Linked DNA regions of Rattus norvegicus. The protein of the gene in region 2 binds, or shares a complex with, the protein of the main gene of each other region. Links are inferred from orthologs where the notes say so. Each region holds a gene or a part of one and is shown on either strand. Other genes may lie near its edges.

What was found.
Region 1: the proteins of Sart3 (region 2) and Usp15 are in contact, whole or in part, in a crystal structure (PDB 5JJW), measured with the Homo sapiens proteins. The link is inferred for Rattus norvegicus from reciprocal best matches to the Homo sapiens genes SART3 and USP15. Residues at the interface, in NP_055521.1 of Homo sapiens: Ser438, Ser439, Lys440, Glu443, Gln490, Arg493, Glu494, Trp496, Asp497, Met500, Thr501, Ala505, Trp511, Tyr514, Arg533, Cys537; in NP_001239007.1 of Homo sapiens: Ser23, Leu24, Asp48, Trp50, Gly121, Met122, Phe123, Val124, Lys125, His126, Lys128.

What each region holds. Positions count from the first base shown.
Region 1 is NC_086025.1:60,658,538-60,662,346, forward strand, and holds part of Usp15 (ubiquitin carboxyl-terminal hydrolase 15), read right to left. Parts: coding exon 3,765-3,809; intron 2,271-3,764; coding exon 2,112-2,270; intron 2,028-2,111; coding exon 1,803-2,027; intron 1-1,802. UniProt on the Homo sapiens protein: Hydrolase that removes conjugated ubiquitin from target proteins and regulates various pathways such as the TGF-beta receptor signaling, NF-kappa-B and RNF41/NRDP1-PRKN pathways.
Region 2 is NC_086030.1:48,518,173-48,522,685, reverse strand, and holds the start of Sart3 (squamous cell carcinoma antigen recognized by T-cells 3), read right to left. Parts: upstream 2,834-4,513; 5' UTR 2,820-2,833; coding exon 2,511-2,819; intron 1,025-2,510; exon of another isoform or gene 769-1,024; intron 1-768. Other genes in the region: iron-sulfur cluster assembly enzyme ISCU, read left to right, coding at 4,031-4,144. UniProt on the Homo sapiens protein: U6 snRNP-binding protein that functions as a recycling factor of the splicing machinery. Promotes the initial reassembly of U4 and U6 snRNPs following their ejection from the spliceosome during its maturation.

The DNA.
Region 1 (3,809 bases), on a different chromosome or scaffold from region 2:
CTGAATTTTGTCTTCTCCTTCCTTTGCTGCCCAAACCCAGCAATTACCCCATTTATATTTACCTTAACTTGAAGTTAAACAACAACAACAACAACAACAAACAACAAATAACCCCAATGTCCAAAACAAAACAGACCTTAATGCATTCCCCCATCACTGTCCTCATCCCCTGGAGCTCAAATGGAACTAAGCAGTTTCTCATCAGCCTGACTACACAAGCTTAAGGACCACTGACTACCTCCTTAGATTCCCAACACTGTGACACTGAACACAGACTCGGGCTGGCCTGGAGCTTGGCATCACTCTCCATGAAGGAGCTGTTTAGCTGCTTTAAGAACAGTGCACAGACACTCTTCTTGCTAAGAGGAAGTAAAGGTGGTTTTGTTCACAGGGTACCTTTCACAGACTTCACTTCTACTCTGTATCTACAAATCTGAGATATTTGGCCAGACCCTAAGAAAATAATCTAGGAATCTGCTTTGTCTGAGGAAAAAAGCACCAAGTGAGTAACACACATCTGGATATACTTCTGCATTAATATTTACAAGTCACAGCACTGGAAATACATGCTCCCTGCCTACAAAGCCCTGGGTAGGTGAGAAAGGAAGATAAGGGGAAACCAAAATCTTTGAGGTACTGCAACAGAGTTTAGAGGAGCAAAGGGGGAGCTGTCACCAGAACAGGGTCAAATGTGAATAACTGATTTAAAAACAGAAAATGTAGCATTTCCTCACAAAGCACCGAGGAACCCAGGGATAGCACACAGAAAAGGAACCAGGCCACCAACTGACATTAATGTGTGCCACAGAGAGTTTGCATAGAATAAGCACAGCATGATACTTTAAAGTCTGAAAGACTAGAACAGCAACTGAACAAGTATTTTTATTATTAAAGTTTTACTGTGTCTATGTACATGTCACATCATGAGTGTGGGAGTCAGAATGTAATTGTGGGACCAGGTTCTCTCCTGCCACCAAGTGAGTGTTAGGGATTGAACGCAGGTCTATCAGGCTTGGCAGCAACTGCCTTCACCTCACTGAGGAATCCCGGTGGCCCTGAACCAGTATTTTTTTTTTTTTTTCTGAACCAGTATTTTTATACCAGTTTTTTATTTCTCATCAACAATTTTAAAATGCCTGAAGATTACTTCTACTTATGCATGATCATATGATGAGTTAGAAAATACAATAATAAATACATAGTAGACACATTCATAGACAATAATAAATATATTAAATAAAATACAATAGTAGCTTTACTTCTAAAAGTGACCAGGAAAAACCTACAACATAATGAATTTGACTAGAGGAGTGCTAGGAGACAGCTCAGTGGTTAAGAGCACTGGCTGCTCCTCCTTTAGAGCCAGGATCCATTCTGTGCACCCACATGAGAGCACACAATCATCCAATACCGAGGCCTAGGGGATCCAAAAACACATGTGGTACAGAGATATATACTGGCAAAATACCTATACATATAAAATAAATACATTTAAAAATTCTTGATAGAAAAAATACAGACAATAATACTGTTATTTATCTTTCTAAGCGGATATCCATTCCAAATTATAAAACAAACATCTTGGTTGTCTTTGGTGTGCAAACTTGATAAATTTATTTTTCTATGACATCCCTCAACTTCACATAATTCTACACAGGTGTAACTTCCAGAGTATTTATCTTATGAAATCTATTATCCAATAAATTTTATAATCGAATAGTGCTGGAGAAAGCAAATTTTAAAATGGTCCCATCACAAACGAAGTAAAAATAACAAATGTAAAGAAAGAAATCATTACTTACTTGCATAGGTTTAGCAAGTGGATCCATTCTAACTAAATAAACTTCTAAGCTACGTTCCTTTTTCATAGGCAATGGAAGTGTCAAGTAACAGAAAGGGTCGAAGGTCACTGAGATCTTAGCACACTCAGGACACACTAACGTAGACTTGAAAAGGCCATGAAATATATCTACTATGATAGAATCATTTCTTTTTAAATGGTTTTCCCAGGCTTCTTCAGCAACCACCTACAAAGGAAATAAACAGTTACTAAAAGGTGTTAGAAAATTTTAACAATGAAGAAAATAATACCATGAAGCTCATTCATTTACCTTGTCTGGCCTCCCATCAGCATCTTTTAACTGGATATATGGTTTTTTCCTAATTCTATTCAAATCCTCATGTAATCCATCTAATAGGAAAGCTAGTAGTTCTTGGCAGTCTTGCTGTTGATATCCAGAGAACTGAGGTGCAAAACGTCCTACTTGTGTCTGTAAGACAAGCAAAATCACAAAATCAGCTAGTGACAGGTTTCCTTAAAAAGCACACAATTGTTCTCATTTTTACTTATTATAAATTACTTCTGTGCTCTGAGTAAAGTTGTGATACACTTTAAACTATCTGAACGTATGTTCCAGTAAAACTGTTACTGATGTGCACACACCCCTCCTGGAAGAAGGCACGTGATACTGCCTTTTGGCTTCAGCATTGTCTTGTACTTGTCTGAGTGTTCTCTCTCACTTAGTGCTTGGTACTAGCTAGGGCCTCAAACAGTTCCCAAGCAGAGTGCTAAGGTGTTGTCTAGGTTCACAGACACAGAGGCAGTCATGTCCTCTATGGGGAAAATACAATTAGATACATTTGTTAAGCAATGAGTTATAGGGTTGGCTGTGAAAATCAGTATTAATGTGCCAACCATATATAATAAATCCCGAGTTTTCAAACAGACACACGTGCGACAGAGGATGTATTCAGTAATTGATGACAATGTGACCGAGGCTTGGTGGACTCGAATCTGCCACTTCCCCAGGAGTGTGCTTCTGTATTTGTTCTTTTAATTTGTGATAACTTAGTGGAAAATAACTTGTGAAGAAGAATCAAAACTGGTGTTTTGCCTGCACTGCCTTTCAGCATTTGCATATAGTACCTGCTTGAAATGGAGTTACAGACTGTGGGTAGGTAGCCACCAGGCAGGTGCTGGGAACTGAACCCTGGTCCCCGGGAAAAGTGGCCAGTGCTCTTAACCACACAGCCATCTCTTCAGTTCGATTCATATTTTAGGAACAGCTAGATGATCAACAAATATTTCTTAGATGTTCTAGGAATGTTACCACCTTCTCACTAAAGGTGAGATCTAAGTAACTACCTCATACATACAAACACCCACGCGTGAGAACCAGATTGAAAATACAGTCAGTGACCATTTGATGGTTGTTTTGTAAATCAGTTTCATTCTGATTTATTTTATAGTCTACAACTGGCCACAAGGATAAACTAGATTAGTTAGACTTAATAGCATATCTAAAGGAAGCTCTTTACAACACCTAAAACATGCACAGAGGGTATCCAGAGGCAGTCTAAACAATTCTAAACCACATCAGTGTAACTGCATGTGTGTGCGTGCGCACGTGCACGAGAGCAAATGCCCATGGAGGTCAGAAGGGGGCATCTTATTTACTCCAGTTTGAGTTACAGAGGCTTTTCTGAGCCACCAGATGTTGGTACTGGAAACCCAACCCAGGTCCTCTGGGAGGGTAGCAATTGTTCTTAACCTCTAAGCAGTATCTCTCCAGTCCATTTCTAGACAATAAGAAAACAGAACCCAAATAAAAAATCCTATCACCATCCTGCTCTACGCCATGTGTGTCTTTGGGAGGCCAGGAGACCCTGTGATGGGACTCCCACCCCTCAGCTGAGGAGTTTGTTGTTTGTTGATCCTTTGGGGACACAAGCACACTTGCTGAGAGTAAGTTTCCCATACTAACCTTAAATGCTCTTGGAGTGACATAGCTAAACTTTCCAGACCACAT
Region 2 (4,513 bases):
CCTGGTCAAGACAGAGCACAAAGGATGCCACACACACAAGAAAGGCACAGCAGAGAGGGTACGGCTGGCCAATAGTGCAGAAGCCTTCACTTAACATGCATTATGCACCCAAATGGGCCACACTTACGGATGGGCCAATGTGAAAGTGCACATGACGTATACTGCCAATGCGAGAAGTGTGCACCACTGCACAGCCTGAACACATTTCCTCTTTAAGGGCAGGGAGAGCCAGTCTATCCCCCAGTTTCTGCTGAGTCAATGCAGTGAACCCCTGGGCATGGTAGCTAAAGGCTCCTAACTCTGCATGTGAGAGGCTGAGGCTAAGGCAGAAGATTGAGCCAGCCTAGGCTAGAGAGTGAGCGCCAGGTTAGCCTGAGCTACAAAGTCCTCTTGGAGCTGAAGAGATGGCTCAGCAACTGCAAACAAGCCCTACACTGTAACTTGGATCCTGGGGACCGCGATGAGGACGGAGAGGACTGACTCCTATAAACTGTCCTCTGACATGGCACAGGCGCACCTGTGTGAGCACCAAACAGAAGCCTGCATTCTAAAAGACAATAGCGCCTCTCAAAACAAAAGGATTCAGAACACTTAGTACTAAAAAGTAGGAATGATAACCACCTGCTCCAAAAGGCCTCTAATAATTAGACAAAGGGACAAGTGGGGCAAGCTAGAGCAACATTCTGTAACTGGAAAAGAATCAGTGCTATAAATGCAGGCCAATGCAATTATTGGTTAGAGGTTAGCCGATTGGCCTGTGTTACTCACCACAAATCACTGAGGGACCGCACCTCCAGGGGGGTATCTGGACCACAGATGACCATAAGAGATCAAGGCCCACTTGTGTGAATTCAGCCGAGTCAGATCCTACCATTTGCTGAGCCTCGTTTCCTCACGAGAACAGGCTTCATCTTTTTGGTCCCACTCCTCCATATCTTCTCCTTGTCCCATGAACAACTGGGGTGCACTAGATTTTGGTCTTCTGGCACAATGGTTTACAGCTGGGTTTGCCCAACAGGAGGCACTAGCAGAAGCATGGGGGGTGGGGGGAGACAGTATCAGGTCTCAGGTGCTACCTCCATGAATTTAAGGCTTTCCAAGTAACATAAGGCTCCCTTCACCCCTTCAGACCTAAGATAGACACCGAGTCCTGCTGTGACTGGCTACGGGAACAAAACTTGCATCCCTGGTTCCCCTGCCCACATTTATAAACAGTGACTATTCATGCATCTTTGCTCAAATTACTCTAACTTGACTTTATCACCTACCCCTGCTAGCACACTGGATTGTAAAGGAGCTATCGCCAATGACAGATCAGGGACCATTTTACTGCTAGGGACCGGGCAACTACGGCAACTTCACTAGGCAGGTGTCATGGGTTATCATAATTATGATAATCCCATTTTACAGGAGCTGTTGCTCCTAATTTACATCAGAAGCTGTTAAGAAAACAAAAAACAAAAAACAACAACAACAACAACAACAAAAAAAAAACTTGAGGACACATGAGTAGAAGAGCTATTACACAATCCCAGAAGGATTCTGGCTCAGCGATGAGGACCACTGGTTGCTCTTCCAGAAAACCCAGGTTTGAGTCCCAGCAACCCCAGAGCGGCTGACAACAGTCTGGTAATTACAGGTCCTGGAGACCTGATGCTTTCTTCTGGTCTCAGCTCACACACTCATGCAGGCAAAACACTCATACACATAAGATAAGAGGGAGTTAGTGGCTCCTGCCTAGCAGGGACGACAGAGGGAGGCAGACCTCTGTGAGCTCCAGGCCAACCCGGTCTACATAACGACTTCCAAGTCAGCCAAAGCTACATACTGAAATCCTGCCTCAAACCCCGCCCCCACCAAAACAAAAAACAAAAAAACAAACAAAACAAAACAAAAAAAAAAAAAAAAAAACGGGCTTCAGATCAAAAGCCTCAACCTCTGCGCTTCTACTACAGTCGCGGTCTATTTTCCGTTCTACACCACATTTGACCATTATTACTATCCCTAAAGGAAAATAAGTTCTCCTCCGACTGTCAGACGGCTAAACCTTATCTGGTTAAGAGTGGCAGTCCCGGGCTGGAGAGATGGATCAGCAGGTAAAGTCGTTTGCCGCCACACCTGATGACCAGAGTTCAATCCCCGGAACCCACATGGTTATGAGACAACCGCGTCCGGGCATGCATACAAACACAAGTTTAAAAATACAAAAAGGATAAGAGCCCTGATTGGGTTCAGCCTGAAAAGATAAACACTTTCAGCTGAGTGTCACCTTGGGCAGGAGCCTCAGTTTCCCAGTGAAACCGGATTAACACTACTTCCCCAACCATGAAGAGGATCCAATGGAATACTTTACGGAAGTTCTGGGCACCCACTGAGCTCGGGAACCGGGGACCCACGGTGGCTGACAGCGCCCTGGAGACCTCAGCGGTCTCCATAACCACGGAGGACCGAGGGGGCGGGCCGGGCCTGGGGACCCGAGGGAAGAGAACCCGCCGCCCACCCCGGCCCACCTGCTCCTCCAGCCGCTCGATCTCCAACTGGTTCTTCTCCTCCTCCTCGTCGTACTCCCACTCGTCCTCCCCGGCGGAGCTCTCGGCGGAGGAAGCCATGGCGGCGTCCTCCTCATCCCCATCGCTCTCGCTCACACCTTCCTGGTGCACCTCCCGCTCAGGGCCCTTGGCTTTGGCTGTCTCCGCGCTGGACAGCACCTTCCTGCCCACACCCGCCGGCTTCGCCTCATCCTCCTCTCCCTCAGCCTCAGGCCGGGCCTGGGGCTCAACCTCCGGCTCGGACGCCGAGGATGCAGTCGCCGTCGCCATCTTGCGCAGCCCGCGATTCTCGGGTCCTCCCTCGCCCGCCGAAGCCCGGCGAACATTAGGCTGTCCGTGGCGTCTGCCTGACCAAAACTCCGCTCGGCGCCAGCGGAAGTGGCACGAAGGGCCTCAGGGCGGAGGAAGCCGTGAAGACTCCACCACTGATATTATCCTTAGGCGTCTCTGGACGCCACTGTCAGGAAGAAAGGCTCACTAGCATAACCTGCGTCGGGCTACGACCTTGGACAGCTTTTGGGTCTTGGGACCGGAAGTGGCAGCCATACCGGCAGTTGTGTGTGCGTGATGGCCATAGTTAAGGTCCAGACGCCATCTTAGGAAGGTCAAAGTCATTTTTTTTTTTTTTTTTTTTTTTTTTTTTTTTTGGACTAAAGGATTTCTGCAAGGCTCAGCCCGCTCCAGTGCGTTGTTGTTTCGCAGCAACCGGCCCTCAGGTGCGGACAAAATTCCAGTTCCTCCGCGATACAATGCACCATTCACGAGAAAAGCCTATCTCTCAGTATAAAGCTCCCTCCCCTTTCTAGCACCTAGTATCTAACAGGTGTTAGACGCATCGATTTTGTGACTATATAGCCAATGCTAACACATTACAGTAAGTATCGTCTCGGGATGCAGTGGATTGTAAAACAAACATGTACATGTCGAGGAGGTATGGTGTTTGTTTCTTTTATACTCCTCGTTGTTGAGGTAGAAAAAAAAAAAAAGAACACTGCTGTTTTCCTCTGCACTGCCTTTCTCCTTCATCAGCAAGGTTAACGAGACAGGAATTGCTTTCCTCGGGACTCCCAGGAATTTTTTTTTTTTAGTGACACCTAGTGTACACTTGACATGTTATTTGCTCCGTAGATGAAACGGCTGCCTTTGAATTAGAAAAAAAAAAGCCTGAACCTGAACAGAGACTCATGCAAGCTCGAATCCCAAATAAGCCTGAGTCTGAGCATCCTCGGGCAAGTCAGGCCCGGCTTCCCACTTCTGGGCGGCCCCACGCCCATCGCAGCACCAGACAAACGTGACCGCAGCTTCAGACCTTCCCGCTCTGCGCCGCGTCCACGCCCCTTCCGGAGGCGTGACCAAAGAGACCGGCCGAAACGCGTGCACGCGCTTGGAGCGGAGAGCGCAAGCGCCAAGCAGCGGTGACGTCATACAAGCGCGCCCTCCCTTCGGCGTCGCAGAGGTCGACGCAGGTGCAAGCCGGCAAGATGGCGGCGGCTGGAGCGGGCCGTCTGAGGCGGGCGGCGTCCGCGCTGCTGCTCCGGAGCCCGCGCCTGCCCGCCCGGGAGTTGTCGGCTCCTGCCAGGCTCTACCACAAGAAGGTATGGGCGGGCGAGGGGGTACGCGAACCATCGAGGGGACCTGCAGCTGTTGCACAGATAACCACCGAGGACCCCGCGGCCACCTCAGCCCCGCCGCGGCCGCTACTCCAAGTGTCCCAACTCTGACAGCCCAGAAGGGAGGGTCCTGGTATGTCGTGCCGGGGGTCAAGGGGCAGCACACATACATGCATGAGCACACGTTGCAGCACCGGCATGCTCACCAGCTAGGCCATTGCCCTGGCTAATTGGCCTTGAGCAAGTCACTGACCCTTGCCCAACCTTTCTCTTAGATCTCACATGGGTCTTCTGCAGTCCCTGTGTGTAGAGCGCTCGGTCCAACAAATGGAAACCACTTATGACGTTTACTAT